Coturnix japonica: one gene and its partners. The protein of the gene in region 1 interacts with the protein of each later gene in a pairwise test. Links are inferred from orthologs where the notes say so. Each region holds a gene or a part of one and is shown in the gene's direction. Other genes may lie near its edges.

Region 1 (4,422 bases):
ATTATTGCTTCTGGAGCTAAAAGAACTCCTGCTGAAGAGACGCTGGCAAGGTTGGTGAGTAGAAGCGTGTGGATTAGGATCTGGAGTGCAGGACTGGGATTCGAGGGTTCCTGTGCCTTGAGAAGATACAGTGAGTTGTCTCAGGATGCCCAAGGCACTTTGCAGTCCAGAAGGTGTTTCTGTGATCTTTATGAAAGGGAAGAACCTCTTATCATCTGCTGTGCTAGAATCTAAAGAGAAGTTGCACAGCAGAGTTGGTAATACCACGTGTTTCCACCTTCTTTAGAACCACGGGATGGCTGGTGTACACTCAGCTCCCCTTATGGGGTTGGCTAATAGCAGATGCACATTGCTCGGTGAAATGCTGTACAGCTTATTACATCTTAGGTGCAATCTGCCTTCTGCACATCCCCAGCTTAGCAGACACATTGTTTTAGAGGTGTCTGTTCCTTTGTTGGTTTGTTTCTTAATACAAAGAGAGCAGAGATGCCTGGCTCCTCCTGCTGCACAGCTACACTTGTGTTTTACTCTGTGGGCACCAGCTGGACCAGCTGCTTTCAGGAGCAGCCTCTGTTCATAGGTGGATGATAAACTGGGTATGCTGACCTTGCCTCTGCCCCTTCAGGAGGAGCGTGGAATAAAGCCCATGAGAGGGAGGGGGAACACGCACTGGAGCTGCCCACTCAGGATCTTTACTTGGCCGTTCCACGGTGCCACTGATGTCAGTGAGGGGACAGCGCTGGGTGCAGGAGGCCGGGGGTGCTGCCTCTTCAAACCGATGCTGCAGGGCCGCCTTGTGCACTCAGTGTCACCAGGATTGTGCACAATAACTGCTTCTTTTCTGACAGTGCAAACTGAGCTTTGTAAACGTTGGGGGAACGGGGTCTGAGTTTTCTGTATCGGCCAATATTGAATTCAGGGAGCAAATAAACCCGGTCCTGGTGATGCTGGCCCGCTTGGTTCTGTGTGTGTGTGTGTGTGTGTTTGCTGAGCAGGGCTGAGCTCAGAGTGGGGGCACAAAGCCGCAGGGGGGGGATGCGCACGTTGTGCTGCGGGATGGGGTCACGGTGTATGGGGGTCACGGTGTATGGGGGGTCACGGTGTATGGGGGTCACGGTGTATGGGGTCACGGTGTATGGGGGGTCACGGTGTATGGGGTCATGGTGTATGGGGGGTCACGGTGTATGGGGGGTCAGATGGGGGTCGGTATGGGGGTCACGATGTATGGGGGGTCACGGTGTAATGGGGCACGCGTTGTATGGGGGTCACGGTGTATGGGGGGTCACGGTGTATGGGGGGGTGCACCCGTGTATGGGGATCACGGTGTATGGGGTCACGGTGTATGGGGTCATGGTGTACGCTGCCCGGTGTGGGGACCCGGTTCGTGCGGTGCCGAGGGCGGCCCAGCAGCGCGGCCCCGTGGGGCGCCGGTTCCGGTTCCGGTGGGGCCGTGGGGGGGGCGGGGCCGCGGGTCGGAGCGTGCGCGGTGCGTCCGGGCGGCGCTGGGACCCGCAGAACAAGGGGCGAGGGGGGAGCGGAGCGGGCGGGCCGGAACCGGGCCGGGCCCGAACAGCGAGGGAGCCGGGCCCGGGCCGGGCCGAGCGGGACCGCGGCGGGAGGGCGGCCGGAGGCGGCGCGGGGGGTCTCGGGCCGGGCCGGGGGCGGAGGAGCGGCGGCCCGGCGGCCGGGCAGGGGCGCCATGGCGGCGGCCGAGACGGAAGATCATCTACCACCTGGACGAGCAGGAAAGACGCCGTACTGGTGAAGCTGCCCATCCCGGCCGAGCGCGTCACACTCGGCGACTTCAAGGGCCTCCTCAACCGGCCCAACTACAAGTTCTACTTCAAGTCCATGGACGACGATTTCGGGTGAGCGCGGCCCCGGGCCGGGCCCTGCGCGGGGCACTGCGGGGGGTGGCGGCGTCCCCCGAGCATCGCCGTTCTGTTCCCAAGGGCCGGGCTCCTTCCTTTGTGTGGACCCGGGGACGGTGCGAGGGCACCGCTCCCTCCCTGGCCCCTGCCCGGCACGGCGCGGCTCTCCTCACATCCATTTTGGGGAGCACCGTCCATTTTGGCAGTGCTTTCTCCCCTCCCCGGCTCTGGGATGGATGGATGAAGGGGTTTGAGAGCTCTCCATGTGCTGCCCGGCTCTGGGCAAAGTGGACGAGCTGTGCCCTGCTCCATCTCCACAGCGGGGCCATATGGAAGAGAGAAGCAGCCCTGCCTTGTGTTGGGGCAGCTCTCCTCCACTCCCCGTGTTTTCATGGTTTCTTTGCTCTTTCCACCACGCGTGGTTGTTTGGATGCACTCAGTCCTGCTCCTACCATGGACAGTTGTGTTGACTGATCTGCTCGGAAGCTGCTTCCTCCCATCTCCCTCAAGGCATGAACTGACCTGGGGAGCCCCGTGAGATCAGATCTCAGTGAGACCCTTTGTTTGGCCCTCATTTCTTGGTGACACCCTTTGTTTTGCCTGGGTTCTTCCCACCTCTCATTCTCCTCTGGCTTTGTTGTGGAGCTCCCTTCCCTTCGCAGCTTCTCTTGGCCTCCGCAGCACGTGACCCATCACCATCCCTAGTGCTTTGCCGTTTAAAAGAGTTGCGTGATCTCCTTCCCTTTGCATTTTTTCCCTTCAGAAGATGGAGTGTTTACAGTAGGTCTTGCGGATGGAGGCTGGGACTGCAGAGAGCTTTCAGTTTTATAGCCTTCCCAGTGTCTTCGTGCCGCGCCAAATGCCTCCCTGGGCTGCAATCTTGGCTCCTGCCGTAAGTTACACAGGGCTGGGCCTGTTTGGGGCTTGGATGGAAAGCCGTGTGGCTGCCTCGGCAGGGGGTGCTCTCCCCTCTGCAGCCAAACCATCCCGGTGCCCAGGTTCCCGTTAGCTCGGGAGATGCCAGCTTTCAGTTGAGGCTTGGAAGTTGGAGTCACTCCTGTGACCACAGTCTGGGACGCTTCGCCTCTCTGCATTCCTCCAGGCCCAGCGGAGAGCTGCAGCCCTCAACAGCTTCCCCCCTTCTCTCCAGCCAAATAGAAGCTCCTCGGCCCTCGTTTACCATAAATCTCCCCTGCGCTATCAGTTGTTGGCCGATGGTTTCCTGTCCCTCAGCTGTTGGGTGCTATGGAACAGCTGCCTCTCCTCGGCTCTGAGGGGACCGTGTCTCCGTGGTGGGAGAAGTGAATTCTCCATTCTGGGCTCGCTCTGTTTGTAAACAAATGCTTTGAGATCCTTTGAAATGTTCTTGAAGTGAATTCAAACTTGTCTCGAATGAAATACTGCCGTGTGGGTGGGAGAGTGTCTGCGCAACTATAAACAAAGTTTAGTAATAAATAGCAGCGTCTCGAGTTGGGAAGAGGGGTCTGGTGGCAGCAGAGCTCTGCCTTGTGCCTTTTCATCCTCCTCTGTGTCTTTAAGGCTCCGTGAGAGGAGGCAGATGGTGGATTAATGAAAGTTGAAGATAAAGCACATAGAGTACGAGGAGGGAGAGGGAAGAATGGCTCAGGGAGACCCAGTGAGGTCAGCTGCACAGGAATGTGGGAGATGAGGATGATTTCAGCCAGCTCCTCTGGGAAGAAGTGACTTTGGGAAGGTGGGTCTGCAGCTGGAAGGGGTCTCTTGGGCGGTGGGTGAGATCCTGCCCCACTGTGCTGAAGCACTGCATGGAATGGAAAGCAGAAACCTCTCCTGGTGGCACCAGGGCTGCCCCATCGGGGTAGAGATGTTTGGGTCTTTCCTCCTTTCCAGAGAGCCAAAGGAAGCCAGGGAAGGGCTGGAGCCGTCCAACTGCAGCGTTGTCTCCAAGATGCTCTGGAGCCCCAGGCAGCACTGGAAATATTTGGGATCCCTGGTGGTTGGTGTCCAGGAGAAAGCAACGAGTCGGTGTGCAGGGACAGAAGGGCAGGAGGAAGCTCAGCTGCTCCTTGTGAGCCTGTAAATATCGGAGCGATTAGTGAAAACCAGCAAGAGATGAATGCTGGTTGTGTTCAGCAGCTGTGTGCCAAAGAAAGGCATTGCAGGGCTGTGTGTTCATCCCTCAGCCTCTTTCAAGAATCACAGCGTGGCTGCTTGGTTGGAAGGGACCTCGCAAGGCTTAATCCAACGCTTCCTCTCACCTCTGGTGCCCAGATTGAATGGGTTTCTCCTTCTTCCTCCCCTTCGGAGGCTGTGCATCTCCAGCCCAGCGTTCCCTGCAGCCTGCCCATCCTCAGGGCAGCGTTTCAGCTGCAGTCTTGCTGTGTGGGATTTTTCCTTCTTTTGTTTATCTTGTTAATATTTGTTTGCCCTGAGAATCAGGGCAGTGATGGAGCAGCTTCAGTGTTTACGTCTCCTTGGAAATGGGAACAGAGGCTCTCTGGGGTGGCTGCGTGGCTGTGCCAGGGGTTCATCCTGCTCAGTGCTCAGCACCAAATTAAGAGTAGTGCTGTGC
Region 2 (4,532 bases), on another chromosome or scaffold:
TTCCCCCATACTCAGTTCAAGGCCCAGCTCCTGTGATTGGTATTGGATTTCTATTCATTCTTGAGGCTGTTTCTCTTGTGACAAACAGTTCCTCCCTCCTTTCCATTGGGTGAAGCTGTTTGCTCAGCTTATTGCTTGGTCTGCACAGCACCATTTACACACAGACCCCACATCAGTGCTGCCAGAGGATCCAAATCAGAGTCATTCTTACCAGCAAGAAGATCAGAATCTTAAATGTTCTACAAAGCTGAACCAGAGCTGAGCTCCCGGTCAGTTACTGGTTCCATTTCCCACCTTGCAGAGTTTGGGATCTCTGCTCAGTGCAGCTTGTGCTGCTGTTTGCAGTTGTCTCAAAGCTGCAGAGGGTTCTGCAGGGCTGACCGGGAGGTGGTGGTGTCTAATTAAACAATGTCTCTTTGTGACCATTTGTGGGATATTGCTGTCTTAATAACGGCTTTCCAACACGTTGCCACAGCAACTGAACTCTTCGGAAGGGTTGGTGCTTAGTAGGTGAAGTGTTGCAGGTGAAGTTGTTTCATTAGTAAGAGCTGATCCCGTAATACAACAATTCAACAGCTGTATTCCTAAATATTCTACTACAATGTACGGTGTGTTTATTTCTTCACATCACCAGGCTGCAATTTCAGGCCTGAGCTTCTGGGAGCCCCATATGAGTCTATAGGGCTGATGCTCCTGGCTGTACAGGTGCTTGTGTATCTCCTGGGACTCGTGTGATGCGAGAGCTCACCGAACTTCAGCAGTAATTGCCAGCCAGAATAAACACACTGCCATTAATCTCGACGTGCTGTTGTGATGTGGGGCTGAGGGACCCGTGCAGCTGCAGCGTTCAGTCTCCAGTTTACTGATGATCTGGTGCTGCTCCGGGGCTGCAAGGAATCACTCTGCTGAGCAGAGCTGGGACTGTTATAGGATTGATTCTTTTTTCACGTGTGCTAAATATGTTCTCAAATTCAAAAGCGTGGTTTGATTGCGTGGCACGATGTGCCAAATAAACTGCATCAGAAATAAGAAAGGCTACAGACTTGTGGTTGTTCCTTTCTTAAAACCTGAGAGCAAAATAGAATGATGTGCTCAGTCTTTATGGCCACCTCCAACTGGCTGCAATGGCACTGATGCAAACAAACCTGACTGCTCATTCCACTCTGCCTTTCGCAGCTATAGTAATTTGTGCAGCGTTTCTCTGTTGTCCTCAGTCAGATTTCAACATTCACTTCCTTTGTCAGGATGCTCCAGGTTTGAAACTCTGCACCCAGGGAACCAGGAGGAAGAGCAACAGAAGGGTTAAAAGGAATTATCTGGGCTGCGGCTTTAAAAGCATAGTATGGAGGGCACGAAACTGAATTTAGTAGGAGGTTCTTTGTCTGGAACACTCTTTGGCAGTAAACAGATCTCTGATCTCAGAGGCAATCTGAGCGCCAGGAGCACAGAGGGGCTGCAGACAGCACAGGGCTCTGCAGCCCAACCTGCAGCTCAGGGCACTGGGGGTACGTGGGACCCCCCCGGTGCAGCCATGTCAAAGGGTGGGACTGATGCTGTGGGAAAGAAGCACAGCCTGTGCTTCTAGTTGGACTTCCTGAGACAGAAGGGGGGCAGCGGAGGATGCGGTCTGGGAGATGAGTGGCACCGAGGATGACAGCCGCTGTCAGAAGGCAGTTCGCATCATCTCTGAGCTGTGCCGGAAAAAAAGCCTTCCTGCCCTGGATCTGGACACGTGTAGGGAATTCCTTCTGCCTTCAGACCAGAGCCTGAGCATCTCCAAGCCAGGTACAGTACTATGGTCCTGTGAGCTCAGGACTGCAAACATCCAAAGCAGGGAAATGCCTTCAGAGCGGGGGATCCTCTGGGGGCTCAGTGTTGGAATTAGGGGAGAACTGTCTTAGCACAGACCTGTCTTTATTTTCCTTTATGCATCCCACAGCTGGTGCAGGTTAATCTGTCGGTGTAAGTCGGTGTAACCCCATGGGCAGAGCTGCACTGAGGTGGAGAGGTGGTTGGTGGTGTTAAGTTTCTGTGTAAGTTCCTTGTTTTTAGTTAAAAACCTCAACTCTCATCCTATACGAAGAGAGAAGCAATAAAAAAGCCCGTTTGAGAGACAGAGATGCTTATTGTTACCTCAGCTCAAGGAAAGGAAGGGTTTGCATGGGGTCACCAGGCAGGGTGATGCACGGGCTGGGAGCTGGTGATTGCTCTAAAGGCAAAGGGGCACTTCTGCATGGGAACGTGGTGAATTCCCCTTCTGCTCACAGCTTCTAGAGAGCAGCCCTTACCTGCAACTGCCAAAGACGTTTGCAGAGGGATCAAACATCACAGGTTCACATGGAGGAGCAAAACCCAAGCGAATGAAATGGCACTTTGCTAAGTCATGATCTAAAACAGTGATTGAGCACCTGGTGAGAAGCACAGGTGTGTGCAATGAAATGCACCTGAGTGACCAGAGCCTGGTTCCACCCCTTCCCAAACCTCATTTGAGGGTTGGCAGTGGAGGTAATGGCATCTCACTGGAGATCCTTGCTGCTCTGGAAGCCTTCCTGATGTAAGTAGTTATGTTTTCTTTTGTTTCTATGCTTAGGGCTGTTGCATTTGAGCATGTGTATTCAAAGGTTCTGTGCTAGTTTTTTACCTCCTGGATAGATCTATTAGCTGGTGGATGGGTAAAGTTGAGTTGTCATGGTCATGCAGCTCATGTTGCTGATGAATGGGAGCACCCCAGTATATTGTGTGCTGTGATGAAGTGAGCCAAGTGCCATATTAGCCTTCTTGGATCATATCTGGCCATGGAAAAGGACTGTGGATATAAAAGTACTGGGCTGGTTTCTGTGCAAATAGGTAGCACTGTGCAATTCTGGTTTTGTGCGCTGATTCTCCTGTTTGAAAGTGCTTTGAATTGGATGTGAGAAGAGATTCTGTGCATCAAGTAGATGCTTCCCTACTCTCTGTGCTTTGGGTTATGTAACAGCCTGTTCCCCTACTTAGCCAATAAGAGAAACGTAGCTGCAGCATTTCTCCAGTTCGCCGTACAGCACTGTGTATCAATGAAGGAGCTTTGTGGGCTGCTGGGTTGTAACTCTGTGTGTCTGAAAAATAAGGCTCTTGGGTGAGGAAGGTGTTGTAGGGATGTGTCAGCAGTGCCAGGAATAGCCCTGCTCTCCTGGCTGTGGGCCCTGCGGTTGGACAAAGGCAATGTCCTTTATTGTGCCCATCTGACCCCCCTGCAGCTCAGTGCATCTGACAGCTCTTCCCTGCCCACCCTCATTCACTGTGCAGTGATGCTGTGTGCAGATAGCAGACAGCCACGAGCTACAGGCTGTGATATAGAGCCAACACTTGCCACTGCAGTGATGTACCTTAAGCAAACAGGTATATACTGCTGCACCCTGCAGCTGTGGCAGGCACTCTGAGTTTGCTGAGCTCTCTGGGACTTGAAGAGCACGTCTGCTTCCCAGTGTGGTGTTTGAGCTGTCCTGAGCTCCATCCCTTCCATAACTCAGTGCGCTCTCAGTGCTCTGCCCTTTGTGTGAACTGCTCTTTTCCATGACACAGACGGTTCTTGTGCAGTGCTCAGCACGCTCCTGGCGCTCTGCAAATACTATTAAATGCAAAACCCACACGTCTGTAAGCATTCCTGCTGCAGGAGGGGAGAGGCTGAGCTCTTGTGCAGCGTGGGGAGGTTTGTTGCAGAAATGCTGATGGGGAACGAACATTTTTATATGGGGAAATTGCTTCTGAAGTGTGTTCCTGGGGACAAAAAATATCCCTTGATAGGGCAGCTTGACTAATGGGAACTTGATGGCATGACCATTCACTGATGTGGGATGCCTCGAGCCACTAGCTGTGAAATAAGGGCCACTCCTGCGTTTACTTATTGGCTGTAATAACACACTTCTCTGAATCACTGTTCAAGTGTATTTTAAGTCAATATGGTGGTATAACAGTGAACATGTTTGAAGCCACCCAGGCAAAACTAATACTAATCATCAAGGCTTACGTCTCTGGAGGCCAAGCATGTGAGGAGCAGTGCCTGTGGGCAAAGATCTCTCTTAGCACGGCGCAATGCACTCACAGAATGGATTTTGCCTTCCTCTGTGAGCGCCTGTTCCAGCAGCAGGTAGAGAGCCAGCAAGGGCTGCATGCAGCACATTTGCTCTTTAGCTCAAGCAGAACAGGTTTGTGCTCTGATCCTGAAGGTGTCGTGTTCAAATCTTGCAGCTAGAAGGCTTAAACTCTATTGAAATAAGGTCAAAACCAGCAGCGTAAATCAAGGGGAAATTGATTGTATGGTTTGTCTATGAATATGTTTATGCGTTCGGTGTGTAGCTCCGTGAATTCACAGCTGGCTTTGTGCTCATTGAAATGGTCCTGGTAAATAAACAGCACTATGGAGCTGTGCAGTGCCTGGGAGCTTTCTAAGTAACTCTGCATAGCGGCGAGCTTTGGATCTGCTGAACTGCTGCTGGTTGGTTCGTTCCTGAAGCAGTCGGGGAGTCTGAGTGTGTTTGTAGTTTTTTTGCGGA
Region 3 (4,363 bases), on another chromosome or scaffold:
AGCACACTGCCATACTGTGAGCATGTCAGCATGGGGTGAGCCAACACTGGGGATCCAGTATGGGGCAGCAATGGGGACAAAAGAGCTGTCCCTGCACCCTTATCTTTCATGTGCTGCTCCCAGTGAACAGTTTGTGCCTGCTCCCTGTGAGTGGACAAGAGGATCAGATGAGCTCAGGAGAGGGGTTGACGCCAGGCAGCTTGGGGCTGCAACTGCTCAGGAGAGCAGCAACAGATGGTGGGGCTGAGAGCAGCTCCTGGGGTGCATGGGCAGAGGGAGGGCATCATGGGGTGGGGTGCGCTGTACCCTTGGCTCGGTTTGTTCAGCTCCAGCCTGGGTTGGAGGGTGGAGGAGTTCCACAGTCATGGGCAGTGGGTGAAGGAGGGGATGTTCCCCTTCTGCACTGCGAAACCTTATCTGGAGCACTGCCTCCTGATGTGGAGTCCTCAGCTCAGGAGGGACTCAGACTTGTTGGAGTATTACCAGAGGAGGGTCACGAAAAGGTTCCCAAGGGAACACCTCCTTATGAGGACAGGCTGAGAGCTGGGGCTGTGCAGCATGGAGAAGAGAAAGCTCTGGGAATGAGCAGATTATCAGGACCTGAAGGAGCTGTAAGAGAGGAGACAGACTCTAGCAGAGGACAAGGGGAAATGGTTTCAGACTAAATGAGGGGAGATTTAGAGTGGATATAACTTCCCTGGAGGGCCCCCCGTAGAAGACAAAGTCTGTTGGAGCACTCCCATGGAGCAGGAGCTGCAGAGGAAGGAAGGAACTGTTTAACTTCCCAGCTGCTGCATGAAACTATCGGCAAATTCAAGTCTGTTTAATCCAGACTTTAATTTGCTCTAAATCCTGCCTTTAGTGCTTTTAATGCCACCTTTCAGAATTAGGATCCTGCGCAGCGGCTGCTTCGAGGGGTCGGAAGGGATGAAGGGGCCGGGATGGGATAGAAGGCAGCGGTGGAATGATGGGGGGCAGGATGGAGGGGAACAGCGGGATGGAGGAGAGGGGACGGGACGGGAGCGGAGCGCAGACTGACCCCTTCTGGCGGGCGGCACCACCGAGCGGCGGCAGAGGCACTCCACCCCCAAACCCGCTGAGTCGGAGCGCGGCCACAGAGTGCGGGATTTCCCGGGGGCGGTTTCGCTCGGCGCTATCGGGCGGGAGCTCAGCGGCACCGGAACGACAGCAGCGGACGGAGCCGCCCTCGGGTACCCGCCTGCCGGGCTCCAGCCGGGGCGGGGCAGCCCCGCAGCGCACCGGGGAGGGGTCGCCCGTCCCGTGCTCGGCGCCGGTGACCCCGGGGCGAGAGGAAAGCGCCCGGCGCCCGCCCCCTCGGTACTCCCCCGCCCCTCTCCTATTGGCAGCTTCGTAGCAAGCCCCGCATCACCATTGGCCAGCACCGCCGGTGGGCACCGCCTCCACCGCAGCCGCGCTCGGCCCCGCTCGGTCCGGAGCAGCCCGGAGCACCGGGCACGGCGGCTTTACCGAGCACCGGTACAGCGCCGCTGTGTCCGGGCACGAAGAAGCCCCGGGGAAAATCAACACCCCGTCCCACCGGAGGAGCCCTTGTGGCCCCGGTGCAGGTAAGGGCTGCAGGCGCGGGGCTCGCTGTCCCTGTTTTCGGCCCCGCGGGAGAGGTTCTACCCTGACCGCGGCTCTGTGCTCTCCGGCCGGGAGCGGCGGGACCGGCAGCAGCTCCAGCAGCTCCCCCTGCGCCTCTGAGCGCGGTGGGGGTGGAAGGAGGATGGAGCTCTGCGCCTGAGAGCGGAACGGCTCCGAGCTGCCCCGGAGCTGCGTGCTGGCAAAGTGCGGGAAGCGGGAGGTCCGGGAGGGGTCCCGGGGAACGAGTGTGGGTCTGGGGGCCGCGGTTTGGTGGGACGTGTTGATGGGGCGGCTGGGTCTTGTGTGGGGCTGTGCCTCAGCTTCCCCTCTGGGTAAAATGTGGGAGAACGGCAATGGAGAGGGCTTCACTGTCGCTGCTGAAGGAGTGTGCTTTGGAGCCCATCCTCCTGCAGGGCGTTAGGGTTTGTGAACCAGGGGCTGCAAAGGGGAGAAGCGGCTCCAGGAAGGATGTGATATGCTGTTCTGTGCTGCGCAAGTGGGGCCGTGCTGCCCTATATGGCATCCACTCTGCAGCAGCCCCAATCTGCACGTGTGGGGTGCCTGTGGGGCACCACAGCTCCCAGGGGCTTAGAGCCCCCACAGCACCATAGGTGGATCTCTGAGGCTGGGAGGATCCCACCCTAGTGTGAGGTGCAATCTCCCTGACTGCTGCAGAACACACCAAGAGGTTTTTAGGGTTCTGCAAACATTGTGTTGTGACCCGAAGCACAGTGTCGCTAGAGGAAGGCTGCAGCAATGGCCCCGTTACAGGACTGCCTCCATCAGGATAAAGTCTATCTGCAAAACTTTACTTCGCTTTGCCCCTGCTGCAGCCTCCCAAGGGCAGGAAGTGTGTGCTGTGCTGTGCAGCCTCGGCACTGCTGCTTCCCCCTCTGCTTTGCACTTCCCCATCTCTCTCCTGAGCCTCTGTCTGCTACGGGTGAGGAAGAAAGGAAGTTGCCACAGGAGAGAGCAATCGTTGGCTGCCTGATAAGGGAAGGAGGAAATAGAAGGTGAGATGGATGAACCAAAATAACCCCTTCCTCCTCCTCCTGCTGCTGCAGCTGCTAGGCCCCTGGGCGTGATGGCACCACTCAGTCCCCAAGCATGGCATAGGGGTGCTTTCCCCAAGGGCCCCTTCCAGGTGCCAGCAGCTGTTCCCATGCAGCACCTGTGGCCATGTCCCCAGGGAAGGGAGCACTATGGGAGCCCTTTCCCCACCTATGTGTGAGGCTGGGGCTGGTAGTGGGAGTCCTTCACCCAGTTCCGTGCATGGGCACATTTGGGCTGCTGGACACACGAGGGTTCCCAGGTGCCCATTCATATTTGGGACCAAGTCAGGTGTTTCCCAGCCCTGCAGGCTGCTTGGGGATGCTGGGCTTGTTGCAGAGGAGCCAACTCCTCCAGGTAGTTCCTGGCTTCTATCCTATTGGGTGTCAGGGGGCACCAGGATGAGCAGTGCTGGGTGCAGGCAGGGTGCTGCAATGACTCTGTCTGCAGTCTAGCTCGCTCCATCCCTCAGGCCTTCTGTGCTGCCTTTGGCCCCTTGGTACCAAGGTGACTGCGTCCTGTGTGTACCACTATGCTGTGCTGCAGGGATGGACAAGACACTTTCTCCTGGGCAGACTTCAGGTTATAAAAGTTTGAAAACCCCCAAAGGCATTTTGTCATCTTGGGTCGTCTCTTCCCTTTTTTTTTTTTTTTTTTTTTTTTTTGCTGCTGAGGAACTGGGCTTGTGCTCCTGACCCCAGCACAGCCACCAGCAGGATGGCATGGGGCCGTGAGCAGTGCTGGAGCAGCCCTGTGCACTGCTGTGTTGCTGCTGCATTGCTCAGGGAAAGGGGGTCATGGCCCAGAACTCAACAGTGGGTCCCAAAACAGCAGAGCAGGGCCATGCAGCAACCAAGTGAGGCACTGCATAAGGCTCAGGGTTTACCCCCACAGTGTTCTTTGTTCCCTGCCCTCACAGTGCTCCTGCTCACCCTGTTGGGTCATAAGGTTTTCCCCGTGCTGTGAGGTAATTCCCCTCTGGCCTCACCCTGCACTGCACCTGCAGGGCTACATGCTCCTATGGCAACACACATACACACACCAGTGACAACCAAAGGTGCCAGCTCCCTTCTGTGCCACCCAGCATGTGGCTGGGGGGGCTGAGCACTGTGGGGTCAGGCTCCAGTTACACCCCAGTGGCTCTGGCCCTTCTCCCGCGATCTGGTGCAGCAGCGAAGTTTAATTAATTAATGTTGGTTGGGCACTTGATGGTTGGCAAGGGAAAGTGATAGGGCAGAGCAGAGCAGCAGTGCGGCGCAGTGTGTGCATCTCCCTGAGTGGCAGTGGGAGAGTATGGGACACACAATGCGGGGACCAGGGAGATGGTGACCCTGAAACATTGACTTTTAGCATTGGCCCTAATAGGAGATGGTGGTGCTGCCCTTAGGACAGTGTTGGAGGGAATGGAAGTTGGCTGTGAGGTGGAGGAGCTCTTAGCTCAAGCCCTCCTTTCTGCATGCTTGCTCCACACTGCCTCATGCATTATTGAAGTGTGTTTTGCATTCCCGCATCAAATATTCATCCTGCTGCCATGGGAGCTGCTGTGGGGCTGCCAGGAGTGCAGCAGGGCCACGTTGTGAAGTGCTGTAGACACCTGGTGATTGGCACCCAGATGGACACCAGCATAGGGTGGTGAGTGTCAGGTGTGAGACTGGGACCCCCCTGGCCCCCTTAAAGGGGTTTTTATTCCCTCTATGGATGAGATTTT
Region 4 (4,636 bases), on another chromosome or scaffold:
GCCTGGAGGCCTTAACAAAGATGAGGAGCCTGTTGGGCCAGGTGGGGTGGGAGCAGCACCCCTGCCACCCTCTGGACCTCTTCCCTGGGCAGTGCTTTTGCTCTCCTTAAGCCAAGCCTGGATAGATGGATGGAACATGCACATAATAATAAACCCTACCTGCTGTGAGCACCCAGCAGGTCCCACCTGAGACCCATAAACAACCAGGGGTCCCTGGGGCTGCTGTTCAATTGAAAGCCAAGTGCAGAAGGGATCTGTTTCCTCTGCCTTCCTTGCAGCTCCCGGCCATGCTGGAGGCTGTGACATGTATCTGTGCTCAGTGCCAGCTCTTGCTTCACTGCTACGCTTTGGCTCTTGGGTTGATCTGCGACATATTTCAGTAGCCTATCCTTATAAAAACCGCAGTTGAATTGTATGATGCGATCAATTCTTGCTTGCAAAACTGCGATAGCTTTTAGATGTTGTGAATAGTTATGGATGTAGTATTATAGACTAGAAAGCATGTTGTAAGGCTATTCTGTTTTGATAAGAGACCCTCAGCAAAAGAAACTCAAGAAGGAAAAGGCATGAGTGGGGTTAACAAACATCAAAGAAGCCAGGGCCTTTACACAAGGCTGCGTAGCCTTGCTCTGTGGGTAGGCTGGGATGGAACAGGCAGGTGTCAATGTATTCCCCCTCTCCTTCCCCAGTAAAGACAGGATGCTGAACTTATCCCTATCCTGAGACTAAGAGATGCTCAGATGGCTGAGGAGGCAAAAGTGACAGGGTTGGTACCTATAAATTACTTTTAATAGCCATTCTCCTTCTAAGCAAACCTCAGTGAAGGGAGTTTATCAAGTGGGCAAGTGAGGAAGGTGGTGGGGGAAGTCAGAGGCTGCCGAGTGGGCTGTGGTGATGCTAAAGGATACTAGATGGCAGCAGAAGCCACGGGATGGATGGTGGAACGCCATTACTTGAGATAGATGTGTATGAATCACCTCCTGGAGGGATTACGAGTATATACTGTCTGTGGAAATAAAATCTACGGCGTAATTAACCCCAGTGATGCTAAGGAAGAATATCTGCTCACCCATAGCAATCAATTGCTGTTAATGCCTCAATTCTTTGCCCAGATATTGCTCTGCAAAGCAAATGTGATGAGCAACAGTAACGAGGGCTGGAATGACTGTGGGGTGATCTCAATTTTTCCCACAGCATTAGGAAATACTGCTTCTGTTTAGAACTCCTTGGTCTAAATTATACTCGTTATCACGGGGATGAACTCTTTTATTTTTTAATTTTGCATGTGAAAGTTGCTTTTCTTGTTATTGTTATTGTTATTGTTATTTGTTGTTGACTGGAGGAATGTAGACCGCGTCCATTGGGAAACTGGAGGACCGATGACCATAGATCTTGGAGGACTGGCGGCGCAGAGCGGTAAAAGCAAAGCGACGCCACTACCCGCGTTCTAAACGCATGCGTGTTATTGCCTGGAGGACCGGAGACCATAGAGACAGGCGGAGCAGAGAGGTCAGGGGCAGGACGCGCACGCGCAGTTGTCATCTGAGGACCTACGGAGCGCGATGGGAAGGGCGGATGAGAGCGGAAATGGTGGGCGGAAGCGGAAGTCCACCCAAGTGAGGTCACACACTATGGCGGCTCCCCAGCAACGCCCCAGGCAGCGCGCCCCGCCCCCGTTGCTAAGGAAGTGAGGTCACGCAGTATGGCCGCTCGGGGCCGGAGTCGCTGAGGGCTCGGCGTTGTGCTGAATCCGCGTCCATCCTTCCCTGCAGTTCCGAGGGCGGCGTCGCTCTCCTCGGCAGCACCGAGCGGCGGGACCGGGGCCGCGATGGCGGCAGGAACGGCGGGGCTGTGAGATAGAAGAGCGCCGGCCTGAAGGGTGGGAAGGGAGACGGAACCGGGTCGGGGCCGAAGCGAAGCGCCGCCATGGAGCTGAGGGTCGGGAACAGGTACCGGCTGGGCAGGAAGATCGGGAGCGGATCCTTCGGAGACATTTACCTGGGTAAGGAGCGGGGCTCAGTGCGGACCCACCGGGGGGGGCTATGGGGCCTCACCTCGTCCTGACGGAGCTCAATGGCCAACGCTGCGTCGTGCCTCGGTGCCGGCACAGCGCGATGTTCCCTTCGCATCGTGTCCTAATTTAGGCAGCGCTGGACTCCTGGATGATTCGGCTGCCTCGTAACGTTGGTGGTTGGTGACCTTGGGCGTCGATATTTGTCTGTAAAAGGGGAAAAGATCTGGGGAAAGAAGCACGAGCATCAGCATTAAATGTCACCGCAGCGCACTGGGTTAAATCGCTGTCACAGGGATGTTGCTGTCTGCTGTAAGGCCTGAAAGAAATATCACACAACTCAGGGATGACAAGTTAAAAAATGCATCAGATCCTCCATAAAAATGAGAACAGCTCAGCTCTGCCCTGACTTGAACGCTGCCCTCTTGTCTTAAGGCACGCAATCACTGCTGTGATTTCTGTGCGAGTGTGAAGACTGTGGGATAGAAGTGCCTTTACCTGCTCTGTGTTGTAATGGCTCACTGCTGATGGTTCAATGGGCTGCATTGAAGGTTGTCGTGGTATTTTAAATCTCTCAAACTGCACAAAATGGATTCAATGTACAGAAATAGGTTTTATAGATACTGATGTTTGTGCTGCCACATAGAAACAAGCGTTTGGTGTTTGGAAATGGAGGTAACATAGGGAAGTAGAACACATAACTGGAGGGGAGGAACTTGCAGGCATTAAAGTAGGTTAAATGGACATGTCTAGAGAGTGGAGGCATCCCTAGCTCATGTATGTTGTATTTAGTGGTGTACACAGGGCATACATGTATTTTTCTTGTAGGCAATGGTACCTTTTTGTGTTGCAATGCACAGTTGGTCTTCTGAAATAATGTGTCAGCTGAAGCTTCTTGCTTACAGGTCGTGAAAGGCTGGTTATCCATAATATCATCTTGATGAAGAATCCAGCCATGTTGTTGTGATGGGATCTGTGCTCTCTGTGTGTAAAAGAATGAAGGGTGCTATGAGAGAACGTGGTGACACACAAAATCTTCATTAGCAGCCATTAGTGCTTTAAGGCAGCAGTTAAAATCGGAACAATCTTGCTGTGATTTGAGGTATTCCTACTAAAGATTTGGCTTCTCTAAATTAAATGGTGACCAGTAGAGTTCTAAAGTGCAAGTAGAGTAAAGGCATGCTTCGTAATCCAGATTAACTGCTGGGTAGAAGTTAAACAAGTCAGTTGTTACTGTCTTATGTATGGAAGAGGGCTGGGAAATGGTTTCATCTGTATGTATCTGTATGTATGTATTATGTATCCAGCCCACATCAGGAAAGACTTTCAGGTCTCAGTATTTCTCTCTTTATTCCTGCAACTTTTGGTGCAAGAATTCCTAATCCTCAGATGTTGTCCTTTTTTATCCCTACATTCTCAGTGTCGATGTACAATTAGCTCTTACTGTGAGCACTGTGCGTGCCTCGAATCTTGTTCTTCTTATCCTTAAGTAACCAGCATGGATTGATAATTACATCACATTACAAGGGTGATTTCTGAGCCATCCGCTAGCAGAGAATGGTTTGCCTTAAAGATCCAGCTCATGGCACAGTTATCTGTTTCCAAGGGAAAATGCTGTGTCAAGATCTTAAATATTGTGGTCTTTTGTAGAGGGTGGTTTGCTTTGCCAGCCGCTGTGTGGCAAAACAGAGGCTTAAAGGATCTGTGCTTCTGGTTAAACCAAATGTGTTTAACAACAAATAGGCTCTGCTTGGTCGTTCGGGTGGTGCAGTAAGGCAGAGCCATGTACAGTTCACTTCTTGCATTCTTGCAGAGCTCAGGATTAATAGGTTGAAGTACAATCGCTTTCTGATAGCTCTCAATACGTTTGTAAGCTTCCATCTGTTTTGTGCTTGGGAGAGAAGTGTTACAGCTCTTCTGGGCTCATGTAGCATAACAGGGTCCGTAGCACAGAGCTCTGAGATGCTGTGGTGAATGAATTACCACAGGGAGTTTAAAGGAAAGAAGAATTGAGTGTACCTCCGTCTTATGAGGTTCCTATCTAGAAGAAAGAAGAGCATGGATGCCCAGATATCTTATAGAGTAGCAAAGATGAGCAGTGTTCAGGAAAAGAATCAGGGTAAGCATCTGTGTTTGGCTCCACCCACAAGGTCAAACAGACAGGAGTCATGAAGGCATTACAGTCATTACATTACAGTGTTTTCATGACTGTTTCACTACATCTCTTTTCTTAGAGGTGGTCTTTGTGCTGTAAACTAAAGTTTAAGAGACAGAGAAGAGCTGTCTGGAGAAGCTCATATGGTCGGTTTTTACACTAAGGCTGTGACTCTGGGTTCTGTTGGGCTGTAGAGTGTTCCTTTAAAGGGTCTTAATGTTTAGACTTCAGCAGGCAGAAGTCCATGGGTGCTCCTGTAGATTGACTTCTTCATACCTGTTTCCTCAAGGACTTGCAGGAAATATGAAGAACGTATGGGAGAGGTTTCATTGGGAGCTTTGATTACTTATTAAGAAGGTTATAGGTTTATAGCTCATAAAGTAGTTTCAGGATGAAATGAACTTGATCCTTAGGTAATGGATCTGCTTGTGTTACCCTAATTAACCTTGCTGGCAGTGAACAAGAAATGC
Region 5 (2,831 bases), on another chromosome or scaffold:
GGGAGAGAAAAAAAGGGAGTTTGAGAGTCACCCCTCAGCCCCTCAGAGCCCTTTCTGGTAATTAAACTCCAAATGATCCAATCGGATAGCAAACAATTCCGTTTAAAATCTTCCGTGAGTAAACACGCTCTGCATCCGAATGCATTGTACTAATTGCGTTTAAAACAAAACAAAACAAAGCCCGAGAGGAGACCGAACGGCATTAATATTGCTGGAATATTTCAGGAAGCAAATAAAACTAATATACGAGTGGCCATTAACATCATTTCGTTCTCCCTCTGTGTGGAGATGTTTTGGTTTGATGTTCTGAGATTGCAGATTGCAAATCTAACCTTAATTTGCTGTGAGGGCCTTCCTTTAAAATGTCTAGGAGCCATAATTAAAACTATTACCCTCATTTTCAGGAAATTCCTGTCTGGAAGCACCTTCCGAGGAGTATATTACAGGTTTTGAAAACGTTGCCTTTCGTTTCCTCTTCGTATTTAATACTGGATTCTTTTTATTATTGTTATTTTTTCAATTGACTCCGCCATCCCTTCTTCCCTCGCAGTTTTTTCCATCCCTATGAGCGCTGGTGTAAGAACGTTGCGCCATCGCTGAGCGGGGAGGGGAGGGCAGGGGCGCTGCGAGGAGCGCAGCCTCCGCGGGGCTGAGCGCAGTGAGGAGGGGGCGGCGGAGGAGGCTGGAAACGGAGCGCGGTGCTGCCGGGTTTAACCCGGGGATAGAATTTGGGAGCCGGGCGGCCCCTTCCTGCCCCGGCTCATGGATCCCATCGCGGGGGGCTCAAAGCCTTTCCAAAAAGAAAAGAAAAAGTAAATAAAATAGGAGAGAGCCTGGATCGGTTTTTTGCATCAAACACCAGGAGCGGCCCCTGCTCCTCTGTTCCCCAGTCAGGGCTGTAAATTCTCATTAGATATAAAGGCAGAGGCTGCATCCATCCAAGGGCCATGCAGGGACTGATTTTTTTTATTTTTTTTTTTTTTAAACCTAAACATACTAATCCAATCCCCTTTTTTATGATCTGTAACAGGGGACTTTTATTACACAGCATTAGCATTCGGAAACACGGCGGAGCCGGGGCGAGCCGGCCCTAATCAGAGCTGGCCGTGCCTTCTCCCCATGGCGAGGGGAGAGGGGCGGAGGGGGATGCGGACACCCGAGCAGCCCCGCTCGCAGATGCCGCTGAATATCGGCTGCGAGCGGAGATGCGCGGACAGGGAGCAGAGGGGCAGGGATCGATGGGACCGGGAGAGGTGGGACTGGGAGCGACTGGGGCCGTGCCCGAGCGTGGGGAGGTGGGGGACTGAGGGGGTGAGGGGGTGTCGGGAGCGTCTGAGCGCTACTTGCGCGCCTCTGCGCGGCCGGGAGCGCATCGTGCGCGGCGGGGCAGCTCTGACCGTGGCCTGTCCCTCCCTCAGGTTTGGTTCAAGAACCGCCGAGCCAAGTGGAGAAAGCGGGAGCGGAACCAGCAGATGGACCTGTGCAAGAACGGCTACGTGCCGCAGTTCAGCGGGCTGATGCAGCCCTACGACGACATGTACGCCGGGTACCCCTACAACAACTGGGCCACCAAAAGCCTCACCCCGGCGCCGCTCTCCACCAAGAGCTTCACCTTCTTCAACTCCATGAGCCCCCTCTCCTCGCAGTCCATGTTCTCGGCTCCCAGCAGCATCTCCTCCATGAACATGCCCTCCGGGATGGGCCACTCGGCCGTGCCGGGCATGGCCAACTCCGGCCTCAACAACATCAACAACATCAGCGGCTCCTCGCTCAACTCGGCCATGTCGTCACCCGCTTGTCCCTATGGGCCGCCGGGCTCTCCCTACAGCGTGTACCGGGACACTTGTAACTCGAGCTTGGCCAGCCTGAGACTCAAAGCCAAGCAGCACTCCAGCTTTGGTTACGCCAGTGTGCAGAGCCCCGGCTCCAGCCTAAACGCCTGTCAGTACAACAGTTGACGGACTTGACACGAACCACCTCCGACGAACAGCGCCGACAAAGCAAAACAAAAAAAAAAAACAAAACAAGAAAAAAAAACAAAAAAAAAAAAACAAAAAAAAGAAGAAAAAAATACAAAATAAAGCAGAAACAAAGCGACGTTAAACGGAAATGAATATATATATATATATGTGTGTGTGTGTGTGTATGTAGGAACCCGATGATGTGTAAAAGCAAAACCCGAGCAAGTGAGAGAGGGAAAGAAACAGCACAAAAAGGGGGGGGGGGGGGGGAGGGAAGGCAAAATCATAATGATAATAACGATGATAATAAAACAAAACCCGAAAGCTCTGCGGACTTCGATTGTCTAAAAAACCACCACCAACAAAAATGAGAATAAATAAGAATAAATAAATAGAAAAAGAGATCCGACGACACAACCAACAAAAGCAGCGCTTTAAAAACGAATAAGCCAATAGTAACCATTAAAAAAGCAAACCACCAAAATAATAATAATTAAAAATAATAATTAAAAAAATAATAATTAAAAAAAAAAAAGGGAAACGGACCAGAAAACTTTTTGCAAGAGACACCGAAATCTGGTACATGGATGAGTTGCAATTTTTCTCTGGATGATGCGGGTTGTATGTGTTTACTTGAACTTGCACAGGAGGTGGTAAGGCGGCCGCTCCCCGCGGCACAGCGGCCATTGGGGGCGGCCCGGGGGGAGCGCTGGGGGCGGCGGCGGCCGCGGGCGCACGAGGGTGGGGTATGGGGGGGAGGTAGGGGGGAGGATGGGGGGAGTTCGGGTGATGTTTACCACTGAGAAACGGAATCGCAGTCCAAAAAAGGGGGATGGGGGGAGGGGGAACAAAAAGGAAAAGAAATAACAA

Evidence for each region.
Region 2: the proteins of DVL3 (region 1) and SYT6 interact in binary tests that used the Homo sapiens proteins (3 or more experiments, as listed by UniProt). The two-hybrid records come from large-scale screens. The link is inferred for Coturnix japonica from reciprocal best matches to the Homo sapiens genes DVL3 and SYT6.
Region 3: the proteins of DVL3 (region 1) and TNFAIP8L1 interact in binary tests that used the Homo sapiens proteins (3 or more experiments, as listed by UniProt). The two-hybrid records come from large-scale screens. The link is inferred for Coturnix japonica from reciprocal best matches to the Homo sapiens genes DVL3 and TNFAIP8L1.
Region 4: the proteins of DVL3 (region 1) and CSNK1D interact in binary tests that used the Homo sapiens proteins (3 or more experiments, as listed by UniProt). The two-hybrid records come from large-scale screens. The link is inferred for Coturnix japonica from reciprocal best matches to the Homo sapiens genes DVL3 and CSNK1D.
Region 5: the proteins of DVL3 (region 1) and PITX1 interact in binary tests that used the Homo sapiens proteins (3 or more experiments, as listed by UniProt). The two-hybrid records come from large-scale screens. The link is inferred for Coturnix japonica from reciprocal best matches to the Homo sapiens genes DVL3 and PITX1.

What each region holds. Positions count from the first base shown.
Region 1 is NC_029524.1:13,798,909-13,803,330, forward strand, and holds the start of DVL3 (segment polarity protein dishevelled homolog DVL-3), read left to right. Parts: upstream 1-1,336; 5' UTR 1,337-1,350; coding exon 1,351-1,868; intron 1,869-4,422. UniProt on the Homo sapiens protein: Involved in the signal transduction pathway mediated by multiple Wnt genes.
Region 2 is NC_029541.1:3,851,557-3,856,088, reverse strand, and holds the start of SYT6 (synaptotagmin-6), read left to right. Parts: upstream 1-1,383; 5' UTR 1,384-1,634; coding exon 1,635-1,785; intron 1,786-1,830; exon of another isoform or gene 1,831-2,554; intron 2,555-3,324; exon of another isoform or gene 3,325-4,532.
Region 3 is NC_029543.1:4,003,357-4,007,719, reverse strand, and holds the start of TNFAIP8L1 (tumor necrosis factor alpha-induced protein 8-like protein 1), read left to right. Parts: upstream 1-1,397; 5' UTR 1,398-1,586; intron 1,587-4,363. UniProt on the Homo sapiens protein: Acts as a negative regulator of mTOR activity.
Region 4 is NC_029533.1:4,227,904-4,232,539, forward strand, and holds the start of CSNK1D (casein kinase I), read left to right. Parts: upstream 1-1,670; 5' UTR 1,671-1,926; coding exon 1,927-2,002; intron 2,003-4,636. UniProt on the Homo sapiens protein: Essential serine/threonine-protein kinase that regulates diverse cellular growth and survival processes including Wnt signaling, DNA repair and circadian rhythms. It can phosphorylate a large number of proteins.
Region 5 is NC_029528.1:2,532,630-2,535,460, reverse strand, and holds the end of PITX1 (pituitary homeobox 1), read left to right. Parts: intron 1-1,418; coding exon 1,419-1,958; 3' UTR 1,959-2,002; downstream 2,003-2,831. UniProt on the Homo sapiens protein: Sequence-specific transcription factor that binds gene promoters and activates their transcription. May play a role in the development of anterior structures, and in particular, the brain and facies and in specifying the identity or structure of hindlimb.